Danio rerio: one gene and its partner. The protein of the gene in region 2 interacts with the protein of the main gene of each other region in a pairwise test. Links are inferred from orthologs where the notes say so. Each region holds a gene or a part of one and is shown on either strand. Other genes may lie near its edges. The genes, in order: spsb3a and numbl.

Region 1 (3,829 bases), on a different chromosome or scaffold from region 2:
TCTCATGCCTAGTTGTGTGTGTTTTATTAGACCGCACATTGGAATGTTATAACAGAACCCTAAAATGCACTTAGTCTGATTAAACAGCTCTGCTTCTTCTCTACTTGATCATAAAGATTAGAACAGGAAGCAGTGGACTGTGGCATAATAAAAGCTCTGCTGTTTTTTAGGCTGCGTAACACAATTTCTTCAGCGCTCTTGTTTCACTTTGACAGCTTTCAGCTAGGGGTGTCAAAATGAATTGTTTCTTTGATGCACCGCGACGCAGATGTGGACAATTCGGTATCTGTTCAGTAATAATCATAACCGGTTTTTATGTACTGATGTCATTTATCACATATGCGTTATACAGCGGTAGCTTACTATGGCGAGTGAGGAGGCCGCGAGTAATTAAAACACTACAACTACTTAGGAAGCAGATAACTGTGCACAATTCACTACTTGTGAGTTTGCTGGACAATCTTTCACTGACAGGGAAGTACATCAAAACTTTACTTTACTTCATTGTCCACTAGTGGAAATTCATCTTTGGCCTTACCACACAAACAGATCAACATTCACATTACACACATCACAGAAAGGAAAGCTAGGAAAAAAATGAACGGTGAAACTCTCTCTCATTCTCTGTGGCCCCTTTGACCTGTTAGCTTCGTGAGGTAACGTTTTATCTCCTCTCTCGGTTGTTACAACAATAGTGTTATCTGTAGATCCAGACATGAGGGTGTCTTTAGAGCGAGTTTTCTTCACCGCGTTAACGTCTATGATGGATCCGCTAATCGCTGTAGCTGTTTAACATCATCGTTTGCTGAACAGCACCAGAGCTGTGCTGACCATTAGAGCCAATCCCAGCCATTTCTGTTGAGTGCGTGATCAATCGCAGGCATTTAAGATCTCCCTCAACACCACTCAAATCGAAAGCGGGATAACATTTAGTTTTTTGTTTGCTGTAAATGCTCATGTTGTTCTGTGCTTGTACTTGAGTTTTGTTTGATACATTCAGAAAGAGTGTTTTATTTGAGCAGGTTCAATAAAACTGCAGTTCATATATTTGAATGCTTGTATTAGAGGACAAAATTGTATTACAAGTAATATCTAAATGTAAATATTTTTAAATTGTAAATTCTAATACAAGAATTATTGTGTTTTTAAAGTAAAATATCAAATTGTTTATGGAAACCATCGTCAAAGCACCATGATGAACTCGAGATATCGAATTAAACCAAATCAATAGCCTGATAATCATAACTGAACCGAACTGTGAGACCAGTGTATGTTCACACCCGTACTTTCAGCCTTACTCTACTTCATACTACCATGATAATTAGTGTTGAATACTTCTACTCCTCCATAAGCATGATGTCTGCAGGAGTCCTGTAGGATTCAACACTCAATCATGGCATCATTAAATTTACCTTGTTTGTTTTGATTATGCACCTTCTAGTGGAAAAAAGTCACATACTGTGTCTTTTAATGCTTTCACGTATATTTTTACTTTGATAATGCGTTTCATGTAGTGTGACTTATTCTTTTGCTATAGAACGAAGAGCTGTTGTGTCTGGTTGACAGGTGCGGAGGCTCCAGGTTGGCATGTCAAGGCGGAGCAGAAACAGCAGGGCGTGGAGGTACGTGTGGAGTGGAATAAGACGGGATGCAGATGCAAGAGCGCTGGTGCTTGCCTCCGAGAGTGACGAGTGGAGCTACGATCGACAGCAGGTGGGTGAAGATGATGTGCAGATGCCATCAAATAGAGCTGAAAATTTAATTGCACTTGCTATAACATTGCTGTTTTCAGTCACGTGGTGATTGACGAGCGAAATTCAGATGGAGGGCAGGAAGTTAAAAACTGAAAGGGAGACCTAGAGGAAAGCATTTAAACCATATTACAAAGGAGATGTAAATAGAAAATAAGCACATATGTTGGGCATGATCCGAATTTCATGAAGAGGCAGAGTTTTCTACTGAACTAAAATATATTTATCTGTCATTAGCCCCTTTCACACATACAGACCTTTCCGGAAAATTGCCGGCAATTTTCCGGAAAGGTTGTATGTGTGAACAGGTCCTTTTTGAAAATACCGGTAAATTCGTTCTGGCTATTTTCCGGAAAGAGAAGTTGTAACATTACCGGTAATTTGCCGTAATTTTATCCCCCTACTTGGATGGATCTTACTTATTATTGGAAAATGATTAAACTGGGTATTGATTCAGAATTACAAACTTTCTTTTTGATACTTGATTTGATTTAGTGAACTTCGATTGAACACAAATGATGTGTGAATGCAGAAGGAAGATTCCCATAATAAGCGCGTGCACGTCTAGAACGTGCTGACGTGAGACGTCTGCTTTAGCCAATCACAACAGTCAGACGCATTTACGTCCGCGCGGTTTGTGAGGATAAAAGCCTTTGAATATTTTTCCAGACACATTTAACTGCTAGAAGTTAGTCAGATCACGTTTATATGTTCTTCTTAATGACAACTGTGTAAATAATCATCGATGAGATGCTTATGATAAGCCGTTGTTTGTTTACCTTCAAGCTTTGCGTGTGCCTGTGAAACACGCACATATTATAAACATCTCGACATGCGAAAGTGATCCTGCGAAAGTTGTTCACAATACTGATCATCCACAGAGTTTGTAATTTAGTCAAATGTTTACAAATACAAGCGCAGCCGTTTAAAGCTCATTTGTGGTGAATGATGTCAGAATTTACCGGTATTTTGGAATGGATGTGTGAATGCTCTTTTCCGAAAAATTTCCATAACGTTCTCGCCTGTGTGAACAGCGCTTTTTTCAATATACCGGTAAAGTCTTTCCGGAAATTTTCCAGATATTTACCGGTATCACTGTGTGAAAGGGGCTATTGAGGCAGTAGATACTGTATAATTATGTTACATGAAAAATACCATAGTAAATGCCATAGTGTTTGGAAGCATACTATAGATAATTACTTGAATTAAACTGTTGTAGTAATTATATTGTTGCTGTGGTACGACACAACTGTAGTAATAAACTCAGTGTTTCCTCTAGGATTTTTCCAGCTGTGGTGGCAGGCCTTGATTTAGCTGACGAAATGGATAAACTGTAACTAATAAAATTAAACTAATATAAAGGTAGAGTAATTATGTTTGTTTTTATTTTGTGTAGCCAGGTATTATCTATCATTGAAAGATGATAATTAATTACATGCGCTAATATTTTGTGTCAGTTCAAATGTCTTGTAAATACCCCCAGTAACGCTCCAGGGTTTTTCCAGTAAGTGCCCTATGACCAGGGCCAGTCGGGATCTGCGGACGTTTTTTGCTATTTCTGCGGAGAATTTTGGTAAAAATCTGCGAATTTCTGCGGAATTATTTTTAACCTTAATATATTAAATAAAAAGTAATAAATTACTGAATAAATTCAGATTTACACCTTTACTTAAGCAAATAAGAATTAATAATGGGCTAGAAATCTGCGGAATTCTGCAGAAAATCTCCGGAATTTTGCGCACGCAGATTCCGTGTGGGCCTACCTTTGACAAAGGCAAAACATTATTCTATAGTATATCTTTTAAACCTTCAATTAAATTAATTAATTGATTAATGAAGTAATTTAAAAATGATATGTGTATGTGTGTTAATAATACAATGCAGTATAAAAAATAATGATGCATATTTATTACATTAAATTTTAGTTAATTTTAGCTCACAGTGCATTAAATAATATTAACAAGCACACCTTTTGTCCTGCAGTACAGTGACTCTGATTCTGAAGCCGAGTATCCTGCCATTGTTCCGGCGGTCCCCAGTGCGGTGCCGGTGACTGGAGAGTCCTACTGCAGCTGTGA
Region 2 (4,532 bases):
ATAAAAATTGAAACTCCATTCAATAAGAAAACAGCTATTTAAAAGTGTAATAATACCTCAAAATTGAATAGTTATTTGATGAAAATTTTATTGTATTTTTCTTCAAATAAATGCAGTCGCAGTAAGCAGAAATGGTATCTGTTAAAACATTGAATAAATCTTGCTGTTTCCAAACTTTTGACTGGTAGTGTACAAGTGAGGAGTTGAGTTGTTCAGTACTGCGCTGCTGTATCTATGTGCTTCGATAGTTTCTCTTCTTTCCACATTCTCATTCACTTCTAATTGAACATCTCGCTGAGCATATTTGTTTATACTGTAGGCTGTTAGTATCATTGCAAAAAAGCTTTTAAAATCTGGACATTGCAACTAATTGAAGACTCTAGCTCCAATTGAGTGGCTTGAAGAAGTCTGTGATGAAAGATGTGCTTCTTACAGTGGAATTAAATGTAACAAATTGAATTGTACCATAATTGCAATTTATCTTTCACTGATTTAGCAATAAAAGTGACTGTCATACTCCAACTAAAATCGAAGTAAGTAGCGATATTTGAATATGAAAATCATGATCATCCATACTTTAAAGCTGGACTTTGCAAACAGGCTAGGCATAAATAAAACACTTGTTTAAGAGATTTGTTTGATCAAATATTTGATCACAATTAAATATGTTTGGATTAATGAAATTGAAAAAGTTTGACTCATTTACTCTACTTACTAGTTATGATTCATATAGATAATCACACATTTGATTAAATACCAGATTAAAACAAACACGCAAGTTGATTTCCCATATTAAAATGACAGATTAGAAAAAAGAGGGCGAGGCAGTGGCGCAGTAGGTAGTGCTGTCGTCTCACAGAAAGAAGGTCGCTGGTTCGAAAATTGGCTCAGTTGGTGTTTCAGTAAGTTGGCAGTTTATTCTGCTGTGGCGACCCCGGATTAATAAAGAGACTAAGCCGACAAGAAAATGATTGAATGAACAGAAAAAAAACTTAAGATAAAATTGAACAAGATATAAGTAAATTAGTAAATAAATAGAAAATAATAATAATTGAATACTAATATATTAATGTAAGTAAAAGATTGCAAGATTAAGGTGATAAATCTGTGGTAATACACAGATATTCTGGGTATTTTCAGAAATATTTAAAATAAAAAATAAAAAACAGTATTTAATAATTGTTTTTATGTTATGTGGTTTTTGACCCTTCATACGATATTATGTTATGCACTGTATTTGTATTTAAATGCAACCTTTTTTTAACCAACATCTGTAAATTTTGAATAGGAATAGGCTGTTTATTATTAAAAAGAATCCTGAAAGCAGCAATTGAAGAAAAAAACCCCACTGTAAACGTTGAGAAAAGCGCTCAACCGTTTGGCCTCTAGATGACGGTGTTTTACTCCTACCGCCTGATCCATTGCATCCCATTCAGACTCTTGAACATCAGCGGGAAGAGGATAATTTGCATAAACGCCCGTCTGCGCCAATGAGCGGGCCGAGAGGGCGGGGCACGCGGGTGGAGCCGCGGGAGGAGCGCAGTCTATGCGCCAGTGGCTGCTGCTCACTGAATAACAAACGCAGAGATTATCCCCAAAAAATCCGTCCATTTCTTACGGCCGTTTTACTAAATTTACGACCGTCCGAAACGCCTTAGTCCACGTGCCTCCAACCGAGCGTCAGTTTCGCGAGGGATTCTCATGTAGATTCATCTGAAGTTATTTCCCCCCTCATATTTCTGTGGATTACACAAAAGGCGGCACGGACACTCATTGTAGTATTCTTCTATTCGGTAAGTGTCTGTGCTCTCATTTTACATGCATTATTTATAGTTTCGGGATATCACAACATGCGGCTCATGTGGCTCGAGATGGCATGATTCTGATTTCATATATCTATGCTGAAGTGTGCAGATGTGTGTTCAACAATAACAAATAATGCTGTTATTACTGTTAGGGTTTAGGATGAAAAATGTAATTAACCATTAATTAACCACTAGGGTCCGCGAAGACTTGCTGAACAAACAAGAATGTCAGTGCGACTACAGCCAGATGTTTCTGAACACATTAAACAGAACCTTATGTACATCAAAATAGCTCGATAGTGTAAAATTATGTAAGAGACTCGTAGTGTTTTAGAGAGTGATTATGTGTTTATTAGCGACGCTTTACATACGGGAGCCTCATTAATAATTAGATGACTGTTATTGATCCATAATGGTTGGGCCTTTCACTGAGGAGTTTGTCACTGAAATAGTATGAGCAAGACTGCAGTGTTTAGAGGCTTTACATGTGGGCTCTATTGACAATAAAAATGTTACAACCGGCGAATAATGTCCATTTCCATTCCACGAACGGTTGTTGTAGTGGAAAAATGAGTTTTAGAGTTTTAGACTGTTATTTACAGTAAAATATTGATTGTTTAAAGAACTGAAAGAAGACCCAATATTGAAATATTTTAAGAGTTTCTTTGGTCACACTTTACAATTTAACGTTACTTACGTGAACTAAGAACGAACAAAACATGCACGTGATTAATTAATTCTACATTTATTATGCATTATTACAATACAAAATTCTATTCATTATAGTTAATAATGTGCGAGCTAACGAGAACTAACAATGAATGACTTTATTTTCATTAACTAACTCTAACAAAGATGAATATATACTGTTATAGACGTGCTGTTTATTGTTTGTTCATGTTAGTAAACACATGAACTTACATTAAACTAATGCAACCTTATTGTAAAGTCTTAGCATCTTTTATGTAGGCTACTCAACTTAGTTGATGGAGTCATATCTAAATGTATTGTTATGGTGATGAAATAAACTTATGATTAGAATGTTAATTTTGACCATTTTAAATCTGAAAGTATTTGAAATCAAATGTGGATACATTCAGAAATTCAGTTTAAGTTTTATGCTAATTACTTTTTCGAAAGATGTTCAAAGAAAAAGATTTTTGGCGAATAGATTACTCTTTCAAATACGGAAATTGCTAGTAAGCTGTCACAAAAAATGGCTAATAACATCAAATAAAACATGAAATTTCGAAGTAGAAACAATTTTCAAGTCTTGTATGTTTTGCCTGATTACACTATACGACATTAGCAAATTATTCACTTGAAATGAGAGTTTCCTTTTTGAGTTTCTGTCTCCCGTTGAACTCAAAGAAGATATTTTTAAAGATTGCTGGTTGGTGATATCTACAGTAGAAAAAGAAATACTTGCACCAGCTGCTGAGTGCCTGGAGTTGTAACGTGTGCGTATGCTGCAGCGCATGTGTGTGTGTGGTCACGTGATGTGCGTTTTCAGTGGTATAGTGTTGACGGAAGGCTGTTCAGAAATGTTCAATGAAACGCAAGTGTGGACGTGGATTGTTTTTTATTTTAAAATGGCATTTTGAAACTAAGACGTATTAGTGTAAACAGGGACTAAGTGTGTATTTTTCACGAGCGGGTCGCTGCTGCTTGGCCAACTTGGTTGGTTAAAAAAGGTCAACAACCAACAGGAACTAACCAACAGAATCTGAGGTTTTTGCTAAAATTACTAAGTACCAGCGTGAAAGTGAAAGATTGAAGCAGTCTACTGACGCTGTGACACGTTAGCTGGTACATCCTTGATAAACTGTTCAACATGAACTGCTCTCTAGCGTGATTGCTGGAGCTCAGAGTCAGATGCGTGCATAGCCTTCACTGCAGCGCATTACAGTTTGTGGTCACGTGATGTGTGTTTTCAGCGGTATTGTGGAAGGAGGGCTTTTCAGACATGGTAGGTAATACGCCAGTGTGGACGTGAATTGTTTTCATTCTAAAATGCTATTTTAAACTATTGACAGTAGGGTTGGGCTGATAGACAATGTCATTGTTCATCGCCGATGGCCAACAGACACCTGTCACGCTTGTACTTATTAATTTTAGTGAAAACTTCAGATACTGTTGGTTGTTTCCTGTTGGTTGTGCACCTTTTTTACCAACCAAGTTTGTTGATGCCATTATAACAACACATCATTCGGCCTATTCACACCTATTCACGAGTTCTGAGGATAAAGTGATTGACAGGTGGTAATTATGTTTGTAACTTATCTTTATTAATTTATGATTTGGTTATGGGTAAAATAAAGACCATGCGGGTCAGCTAGTTAAAACGGTAGGCTACAAATAATTAATTTGTTATGAATTAATTAATTATTCATAATTAATTCACCGCCACCAATGACGAGGATGCCATCGTCCATCGTGATGTTTCATATTAGACATTGTACGATGCCAAATTGGTCGACATCGCCCAACCCTAATTGACAGCAGATCTCTCAATGAGAGAGAGAGAGAGGGATTGTTCAATCCACTTAAATTTGTTATGTTAACTTCATCAATTTGTGTTGGGACAACATGAAGCAATTGTGTGGGACTCAGTATTTATTTACAGTGTAATTCACCACCCCCCAAAAAACTGCAAGCGCCTCTTCAAGCAACTTTTCCGGGTTGCACTATTTAATCACCTGTCACACACCGTCTGAGAACCGTCTG

Evidence for each region.
Region 1: the proteins of numbl (region 2) and spsb3a interact in binary tests that used the Homo sapiens proteins (3 or more experiments, as listed by UniProt). The two-hybrid records come from large-scale screens. The link is inferred for Danio rerio from reciprocal best matches to the Homo sapiens genes NUMBL and SPSB3.

What each region holds. Positions count from the first base shown.
Region 1 is NC_133178.1:14,705,082-14,708,910, reverse strand, and holds part of spsb3a (SPRY domain-containing SOCS box protein 3a), read left to right. Parts: intron 1-1,566; 5' UTR 1,567-1,587; coding exon 1,588-1,713; intron 1,714-3,734; coding exon 3,735-3,829.
Region 2 is NC_133190.1:16,579,581-16,584,112, reverse strand, and holds the start of numbl (numb-like protein), read left to right. Parts: upstream 1-1,596; 5' UTR 1,597-1,793; intron 1,794-4,532. UniProt on the Homo sapiens protein: Plays a role in the process of neurogenesis. Required throughout embryonic neurogenesis to maintain neural progenitor cells, also called radial glial cells (RGCs), by allowing their daughter cells to choose progenitor over neuronal cell fate.